Linked DNA regions of Drosophila melanogaster. The protein of the gene in region 2 interacts with the protein of the main gene of each other region in a pairwise test. Each region holds a gene or a part of one and is shown on either strand. Other genes may lie near its edges.

Region 1 (5,044 bases), on a different chromosome or scaffold from region 2:
GAAATATTTGGATCTCCTGGGGATCAATCGGAATATTAGCCTTTAATTGTGTTGATCTTTTAAGCCTTTTTGTATCTAATCTAAGCCATTCGATCTAATCACAATTTATAAATATCTGCATATTTCTGTATAAGTCTGCATCATTTGACGTAACTCTTTAAGTCTTTTGGCTTAAGTTGCAACTATAAGGAAGTATTTATTTTAGAGACACAAATATTTCAGTCGCCTTCATTTGAACAAATCGGCGAAAATTGGCTAGCTCGCCAAACTTTCTGTAACCAAGGACAATGGTTTTATTTTAAACCATTAAAAACTTTAGACCCACTAGCTCCTAGATCCCCCTCAAAAGATTTAAAAAAAAAAAACACGATACCCATTTCTACTGAACTTCGTTTTTGCTTGTCGTTTTTTCCACTCGAACGGAAATGAGCTGACAGCGCACCGCACACGTCGATTGCAGAAAAACATCGGATAAAACAGGAGGAAAAGTTGTGCAAGGTGGAAAACTGTTTTACCAACTATTGTTAGAGGCGTTCAAAAGAATTACGCAGCTTTCGGTTAGTTAGCAAGGGGTCACCGGGGAGCGTTACGTTTGCATTGCGTATTTCCGCTAAATGTCATCGGAAAAGGCAAACGGCGAAATGCGAAACGAAAGTTTTTTGATTGCCCGTGTTAATCGATATCGATGCACAAACTATTTGCATTGCAACCGTTGCAAGAATATGCAAGAAGTTGGGGGCGGCCGCGGCAGGGGGTGGAAGTTGAGTGCGTAAGTTGGCTAAAGCGGAAACAGGAAATGAGAAAATTTTGCAGAGCAAACCCCGAACTGGAAATGCAACTAACTGGGCACATGCACTTTGCGAAATCATTGGATAGCGTTAAGAAATTTATTTTAAAATTGTAACTAACATTTAATCGTATTCAAAAGCAATTAAATCCCAATCCAATTCTTATATAAAATCCTTACAAGATTATTCTATTTACTGTAAATCTAAGCAAAAACTCCCTTTGCAAAATATTCGCCTGCACAGCACAGATCAGTGAAATAATCAAATGAAGTCTTGAAATAACGAAAAACCCCCAATTGCGTGTGGAACTGCCCCCAATGCTTTTGCTTCGGTTTCGTACCTGGCCGTGGTGCAGTCCCTGTAGAGGATGTCGAAGTCCTTGCAGCAGAGCAACTTGCAGCGATTGACGCCCGGCTGGATGGCGCCCAAGCCGCGTAATATGCGCACCTGTTCCACATTGCAGACGAGCGGTACGATGTCAAGGCGCTTTAGTTTGGTATAAACCGTATGCAGACCGCCGACCAAGTGCTTCAGGAAGAGCTCGAAGGCCTGCGGCAGGCAGAGCATCGTTTCGTTGCTAATTATGAATGCGGCGACCTTCTGACCCCGGTACTCCACCAGCTTGCACTCATTGGCACTGGGATCCGAGGTGGAGATCGGCGGCGGTGAGTTGTACGACCTTGGCGGCACATGGTGATGGGCGGCGGCCATCAGTTCCAAGGGGGAGGCATGGTGCATCATCTGCAGGGAGTTGAGGAGCCCCAGCGAATGGGGCGGCAGTCCATGGGGCATTCTGGGCGGTAGGCCCGTCGGCAGTCCGTTGCCCGATGGCATTCCATGTGGCGGGGGGCTGAGCTGATGGTGTTGCTGCTGCTGCTGTTGCTGCTGCTGTTGTTGCTGCTGTTGCTGCATCTGCTGCATCATGGAGTGGTTGAGGGAGCTCACCGGACTGACGGCACTGGGATGGCGACTTGGTGAACTGGCCGGTGAGCAACTGGATCCTCGTCCTGTGTGCGAGCTCCGTCCATTTGGACGATCCTCGTTGGCTCCACGCGAACTGTTGCTACCGTCGCGTCCATTGTGCTGCTGCTGTTGCTGCTGGGCTGCTGCGGCTGCCGCTGCTGCGGCTGCCTGCTGCTGCTGCTGGTGATGCATCAACATGGCGGTGGTGTTCATATTGCCCGCGGCTCTTTCAATACCACTATTAATATTGTTATTTATTGCGCCCGCTTTATTGTTGTTATTTTCACTCTGTTCACTTGTCACAGAATCCATACTTCATCATGGCCGACACTTTTGTTTATTTACTTTTTAATCGATTCGTTAATTTGACGTTTTTTCTATCGTGACAAAAATTTGACACAAAGTAAGGGAGAAATAGAAAATAGATGGTGAGAGGAAGATAAATAATTAATGAACTCTTAATTCATTTTTAATTATTTATTAGGCTTCTATATGCAAATTCTAAGTGAGCGTGTCTCGTATATTCCTATCCGCTTATTATTGGCTTTACATTTTTAATACTTCTGTAAGTTTTATAACATCAAATTTAAATGCAGACCTTCAAAAAATTTACAAACGATTTAGGATTTGTATTAGGCTCAGCTATGCTCCTATTTATTAAAATCTATTTTTGAGCCAGTTTAGTTAGTTATATGGTAGCTACAAGTTTATATTGCTAAATATTTTTTGTAAATTAATATCCTAACAAACATTTTACTTACAAAGAAATATAGAGAACTAACAGAAAATAGAAAAGTTTCCTTTCAGACATTTAAAGTCCGATTATCTTCTAATACCCCCCATAAATAATCCTTTATCAACAGAACTATTGCTTTGCAAACTTTGCTTTAATTAAGTTTTGGGAAAAACAAGGCAATGAAGCTAATTTGGATCCTTACTGCCAATTTGCATAAATATACCTATTGTCAGCTTTATTTGAATAATTCGATATAGAACATAGATTTACCTTTAAGGAGGTCTAAAAGTAATTTATAAACTCAACATCACTGACACAAGACACTCGCGCACTTTGCTTTTTGAATTTCGCTGTGAAATATATACTCTGAATATTTCAAGTTATTTATTCCGATTGCCCGCTTGTGTTAATCGAGTTCGAATAACCGTTTTCGTACTGGAATTTTGGAAACCGGAGCTGTGTCCGTTTTCGAGTACCGTACCGACGGATTGTCACTCAGAGATTGAGAGATGGCAGCTACTCCGCTGCGACGGCGACGGTGGCGTCGCTGCCTCTGCTTCTTCGCCTTCGACTGGTTCCTCTTCCCCCTCTCGTTCGGAGAAATCAACGAAACGAATTGCATTCGAATGGGAATCGACTGAGAGCGAGACGGCGCGAGGCGACGACTGCGAGTGAGCGAGTGAGCGGGCGCTAACGAGTGCTATTTTTTTAGCCCACCCACACACACGTACGTACGTACGTACACACGAAGCGCTACCGTTATGTACTGAGAGAAATGCGCGCGCAAAAGTTTTATTGCATTACCTTCTCTTGCGAATGACAAATTCGTAATGAAAGGCGAGTTTCAATTCGATTCCTTTCGGATTTTCGTGGCAGCGACGCCGGCAGCGCGGTCGGCCGAGACGAGTGTGCTTGTATGTGTGTGTCTGTGCCTGTGAGAGCGAGCTGGTGTATCTGTATCTGCGATTGTGCAAAACCAGAATACGAATACGAGTACGAATACGAATGTCTGTTGCCCGTCCACGTCTCGCATTACACCAATACCAGGCCAAAAAGGGGAGTGGTATGTGCGATTGATCGGTGTGTTTGCATCTGTGTATATTTCTGTGTGCAACCCCGAAAATACAATGACAAACGTAATCGCTCTCTCTCTCTTGCATTCGTTTTATTTATTTTTTCAATTCGTTTGTGCGTGTTGTGTTCTTCAAATCCTCCCGCTCTCTCTCTTTGGAAAAAAAAACGTTTTTCATTTCAATTTCATTTCGTTTCAGTCTGAGCCCTCTCTCTCACACCATCTCGCCATCTCTGTCGCACGCTCAGGTGGGCTGCAACCAATAAACACGAGCGAGCGAGAAAGCAGCATATTTGCATAGCCAGTCGTACATGTTTGCGCTCTCGCTCGCCCCCATGGGCGACGCCTTATATAAACAAATGACAATTGTTTTGGCATTTTGTGTTGCAAAGTAAATTATAATAAATGCATTGCCAGAGAAGAAAAGTAAAAAAAAATAGCTTTACTTCGAGTTTGCGCAGCTGTCTTTGACAAAAAGCATTTTAATTTCAATTAAAAGTAAATGACAAACTTTCAACGAATTATACTTTTCGGGGCAGTGTTGCTATCTCTTTCCGTCCCAAGCTTTGATTTTTTTTGTCAACCGTTTTCCGTTTCCCATTCGTTTCCATTCGAGTCCCGTTTATTTGTATTTCTTTTTGTGTTGCTGATTCGGAGGAGAGCAGCACTATGGCAGGGCATCTTTCTTCCACTTACACATATTGCGATAATGGGGTTTTTTTTCGCCTGAGGGGCGTTCGTTTTTCGGGTTCTTATAAATAGCATTGCTTATAAATTCTGGCATCGCACCTTTGCCACCTCTATATGTTTATGTACAATGTATCTGAGAGCTCGGTCATTTTTCTATTATTTGTCTTCGTTTCGCCTTCTGCGATTCTTCTCCATAACGATTGCCATTCCGTCGCCGAACCAATCGCATTCCGTTCTCTCCATTTGAGAGTTCCATGTACATATTTCTTTCTATATGGGAATGGAATACGTCTTTATGTATTGTGTTTGCACATGACGTATGAATTTTTCTTGTTCGTTTCGTTTGGGGCTTTTCTTTTGTGGATTTCCTCACCCACTGTCTTTTAGGTGACAGCAACCATTTAATATTAAATTGATTGCAAATGTGGATTTCCAACAGCTTTTAGAAAATATTTTCGGGCTTTAAAGAAGAATTTAAAACACAATAATTATTGTAATGTAAATATTTTATTTTTACATCGGTTTGTTTCATTAAAAAATAGTTATAAGATTATATTAGATATGAAAATTAATATGTAACGCTACTTTTTTTCTAAACTGTGACATTTTAGGCTATTTTTTCTTTTACCATTTCCTTATGTCATATGAATTTCATTTAATTATGACATATACATGAATCGCTGGCTTTAAATTCGAATAAGTACATTAAATTTACCAAAAATGACATGCAGAATTAAAAAGTATTCATTCAAACAAATTTGTTTTCCCCCCATAAATGGACAACAAAAAGGTACT
Region 2 (4,895 bases):
TTACAAGGTCTTTGGCCATTCAGCAGCGGAGTCGAATGGGAAATGGGAAATGGCAAATGGGAATGGGTGGGTCTGAGATGGGGTAGAAGGAAAAGAATTTTTACTTTCGCTTTCTGCAGTGGGTCCGTCCTTGTCCTAGCCGGCTCGCCATTAAACTTTTCACGAACCGAACTGGGACAGTGAGAAGTGTGTAAAAAATCTAGTAACAACAGAAAAAGATGAAAGAAATAAATATAAAAGAATTACACCAAGTTTGTCAGTGTGTGTGTGAGTGAGTGTGTGTGGAAGGGGCCCGTCTGTGTCTGATGTTGCTGCTGTGCACACATGCACACTCACACACCCGAACACTTACACACACCTAGTCAGGACAGGACATATGTATGCCGGAATGGCCATACCCGTCAGTATGTCTGTAATGGCCAACCGTCTGGCCATTTCATCGTACACGTGAGTGTGTATGTGTGTGTGTGTGTGGGCTAAGAGCTTCTGATTTTCCTATATACAATTATAATTTTATTGTATTTACTATTTTTTTCGTTTCTTTGGCTTCGTATTGAACTCACTCACAGACACAGAGGGGCAATGCATGTGGCAATGTGGCAAGGACACCAAGGAGGGTCAAATGGGATGGGTCGGGATGAGCGAGGCGGGGGGAGGGGCAAGCGAAGGGGGGCAGGAGAGTCTGGCAAATGGAGGTCAACGACTGAAACTAGTACTAATATGTGCAAGCGTTTGATAGCTCCATTCGTTTGTGCTAATGCAGAAAGAAATAAAACACAAAAACGAGGCAACACATAAAAATAAGAATTCCGTAGATAAAAGAAAAAGTTGCTTTGGTCCAAACCCAATCGTGTGTTAGTGTGTGTGTGTCTGGGATGTCTGGGATGCTTCCCTCACCGCAGTTAAGTGTGTGCAAATAAACCATGTGTCTGCTGTAATGTTGGACCTGTTGGCACCAATGATCTATGTGGCTTTAAGCACTATTGCACCTTTTTTATTGTGTGTTTTCGTTTATGATTAGCCCGATTAATGTTGTGTCGGCATTTCGCAGTGGAACGAATTTATTAATTGTCGGGGGATTCAATATGAACTTTATCAAATTATCTAACTATGGTCTCATGTATGGGCAATACTATTTTAAACAATGAATCGATTTTCAGAATTACAGTTATATAATAAATAAATAAAAATATGTAAATCCTTTGATAATTTTCCTAGTGTTGAAATATCAGTGATGTTATGAATGATGTTGTTTTACAACACTGAAATGCTAATGATGTACGAGAAAAATATAATTATAAATAAAATAAAAAATAAGAAAGATAATAATAAGCAACTTTATTAAATACTTTCTAATTTATAAAACAAGATGAGAATAGTGACACAGAAGCGTTCAACAACTAAACGGATAGGAAAATAACTTTTTACCATAAATACAATCAAAAAGTATTGCATACATTAAGGGGCCAATAAAACCGGTTTCCTGTGTTTGTTAATATTGCAATTCAATATAAACTTGGTAGATAAAGGAAATCTAACTAAAACTCTTTAGTTATATAAAATTTACATTTTTTCAAGCTTATTTTACAAACCAAGTATCATATGGACAAAGTAATATTTGAATCTAAACTCGGAGGTAAAAAAATTAAATAAAAAATTAAAAATATTAATTTTTGATGGAAAGCAAATTTAAGTAATTGCTAACGCAGTGTTAGGAGGTAAATAATAAAATTACATAAGATATTAATGTTATACACAATATCTATCACTCCTGAATATTATTATAAATAAATATGAATAAATACTTTCTCGTAAAATATTTCCTGCTCTTTTGTATAAAAAAGTTGTTAAGTTGTTATTTGAAGGACCTACTAAGATTTGTACTTATTAATTTATAAAATGTGGCAACTATTCAAATACACAAAGAACTGCACTTATATTGTTTTCCAAATTGTGTAAAAATAATTCGTTTTTGTTATGTAGAAAGGTAAACAATAAATCTTCAAAACTAATCTCTCGAAAAACTTTTTATGTTTGGTTTCCGATTTAAATAAATATTTTTTGATTATTTAATATTTTTTCTTGTGTCACCAATTCTTCAAGTTGTGTTTAAAACACTCAGTTAACTGTTATTAATTAATGCAGAACTAACAATTACACTTTACGGATTGCTCAATTCACCGGTGAAATCAAATACTAACCTTTTAGTTATCTTCCGGGGGCGAAAATGGATCGGTGCCTTCTTCCAGCGAAGGCGGGAGAAATTCGGTGATAGCGCAACTATTTGCAGCAGTTAAATTATTCTTATCTCGACCGGCGATGTTTTTAAATCACTTTACTTATAGTTCACATGGATTTGAATTTATTGTTTTCAGTTAATGTTGTTGTTCATTTGAAAGTATAACATCACTCGGTCAATCACAATCGAACACTGTGCTCGCGATGCGGCGTGATGTTTACCGCTGCTGTGGCGTGCGAATTTTAGCGGCAGGACATGCGGTGCGGTGCGGTGCGACCTCTCTCTCGCGCTCGTCGAAGGATATTGTGATATTGTGACGCTGCGTCGCTGTGACGTGGATGTGCGAACCTGAGCGGCTAGCGTGCGGCGACAAACTACCGCGGCGGACTTGAGTGAATTTTGATTTTAGCGCGGCGAATTTCCGCACGGCGACGACGGCGGCGACGTCACGGGAAATTTAAAGTCGCACGTCCACGAAATGCGGCGTTTCGTTCTCACTCACATACACAAGCACACTCGCAGATATATGCGTCCTGCAGTGGTGGTTGTGTGCTGGTCAGTTGGTCTGCCTTGGTATTAGTAGTTTTGTAGTTGTCGTTTTTGTTTCTTTCACGTGTGCGTGAGTCGCTCTCTCTCGCTCCCTCTCTCGGACTCTCTTTCGCCCGCTCTCTTTCGCTCTCACTGTTGCGAAATTCGCGGCCTTTTTCGGTGACAGCCAAATGTACAATGATTAATAACGGTCAAGACGGCGGCGAAGAAGTCCTCTCGCTTTGGCTGCCCCGTTCGCAATATTCGCATTTTGGCATTTTCGCATTTTGGCCGGCCCAACCACAGGCCAGTGTCCACTCACACACACACATATCGAGCACACATACTAACACAGCACATCCTCCCACACACACACACACACACGTGCGGACACACAGCTGTGTGCAACGAAGACGACGCAATACTCGTGCTAGGCTTTTTGAGATTGAGAGACGCACATCCTTTTCGGCCTCCTTTCTTGCGCCCACGTGTGTGTGTGAGCACAGAGAGAAAAATCTTGATACCTTAGTAAAGATAATGTTATTAAATTTGGTAAGAATTCGAAATTTAGTATAATAATTTAGCAATTTTGTATCTCTTAGTTATGTACATATATTCCATGATTATAACTATGAAAATGAAATTTCATACAAATAAACGAATAGATGATACGATCGCTTGTGATGAAAAGTATATATTACTTTTCTGCCAAGCTTATATTTCCTTGTATTCTGTATTAGTTTTAGGTAAAATCTAGATTTTTTCCAGTGTAAGACTGTGTGCAACCTCAGGAGGCATTTGCTTGCGTTTAGCTAAGCCATTTTCTGCTTCCTTAAACGCTGGGCAACAACTATCAAACGAGCAACGGATCTGCGAGAAGAACGTGAAAAACCTAGCCGAAATCCCTGTCTAATTTTCGCAGTAGGGGGTGCGCCTTTTATCGTCACTGATAATTCTGCTAGTTTTCCCGCTGTCATGTGCTGCAGTTGTTGCTGTTGTGATTGCGGCCAGTTTTCCTCGCTTTGTTTTGATACATGCCTTCATCGCAGATTACGTGGGCTCGCCTCTCTTTCGCGACCGTTTCGCAAAGAGCTGAGGCAAATGAGAACCGAACATCCTCTTCCTTAAGAGAGAGAGAGAGAGAGAGGGAGAGAGCCAGTGAGAGAGCAGCTTTCGTCCTCGTCTTCGGCTTTTTGCCGCCCGAACCGAACGAAGTTATGACGGCAGGAGGTGGTGACCCCACGGGGAAACCCCCCTTGGGAAACCCACATTCTTGAAAACAAGGCGAATCCGTCCAACAGAGTGGCTTTCTTGGCTCTTTTCGTCGCTCTTTTCGCTGGAGCGTGACCGGCGATCGCCGAAGGAACCGGAATTCTCGAACGGACACTCGATCGCAAAGATATGGGCATGACATAGTGGTTGTTTCTCCATCGACTTTTGCAGGCAAATTGCTGCGGTTTAGAAATGTCAGATGGCGAAATAATCGAATTCAAATTGTGGGACAAGAAACTAATCAGCTGCAAATTTCAGGTGATAGCCAGCTTCAAAATATGTATTTCCCATATTTAGCTACCAAGAATAATATAATTGTAGTGTATATAGGTAGGCAGGACAATAACTTATGTTTTCCATTAAAGTGCCGACATATTCATACATATTCATATACTTAGTGCACAACATATTCAATGCTTGGTATACACCAATGTTTAACATGGTTACGCATTAAGATGTTTAGGTTCCTTGTAATATTAATTACCGAGCTGATAAGCTCTAGGTAGGAATAAAAAACCATGTTAAATAGATTGTTGATATCATTCCCAAGCAAGTTTCAAGTCAAAGTGTATTTTGATTAGTTCTGCGAGAGAAGAAAAACCTGACAAGTATTTGCACCATCGTGGGATAGCCCCGAGATTACGATCTTATATAATGCGTGTGTACACATAGGCATTTTGAGGTCGTAGACTTAGTAGTTGCTATGCAAAACATTTGCGCAGAGCACACACACAATCGCACATACATAGCTCCCTATTTCCCTATTGTATCTGGCCAACGAAGGCGGCCACTGACCATAATAACAACAACGGCAACGAAAAAGACAGCAGCAGTGTCGCCAGAGTTGCTAGTTGCT

The links.
Region 1: the proteins of dan (region 2) and dac interact in a two-hybrid assay, tested with the Drosophila melanogaster proteins (one study listed by BioGRID).

What each region holds. Positions count from the first base shown.
Region 1 is NT_033779.5:16,482,680-16,487,723, forward strand, and holds the start of dac (dachshund), read right to left. Parts: upstream 3,320-5,044; 5' UTR 2,758-3,319; intron 2,129-2,757; 5' UTR 2,064-2,128; coding exon 1,129-2,063; intron 1-1,128.
Region 2 is NT_033777.3:25,182,736-25,187,630, reverse strand, and holds the start of dan (distal antenna), read right to left. Parts: upstream 3,249-4,895; 5' UTR 2,202-3,248; intron 1-2,201. UniProt on the Drosophila melanogaster protein: Probable transcription factor with a role in the retinal determination (RD) network. Regulates ato expression and is required for normal R8 induction and differentiation.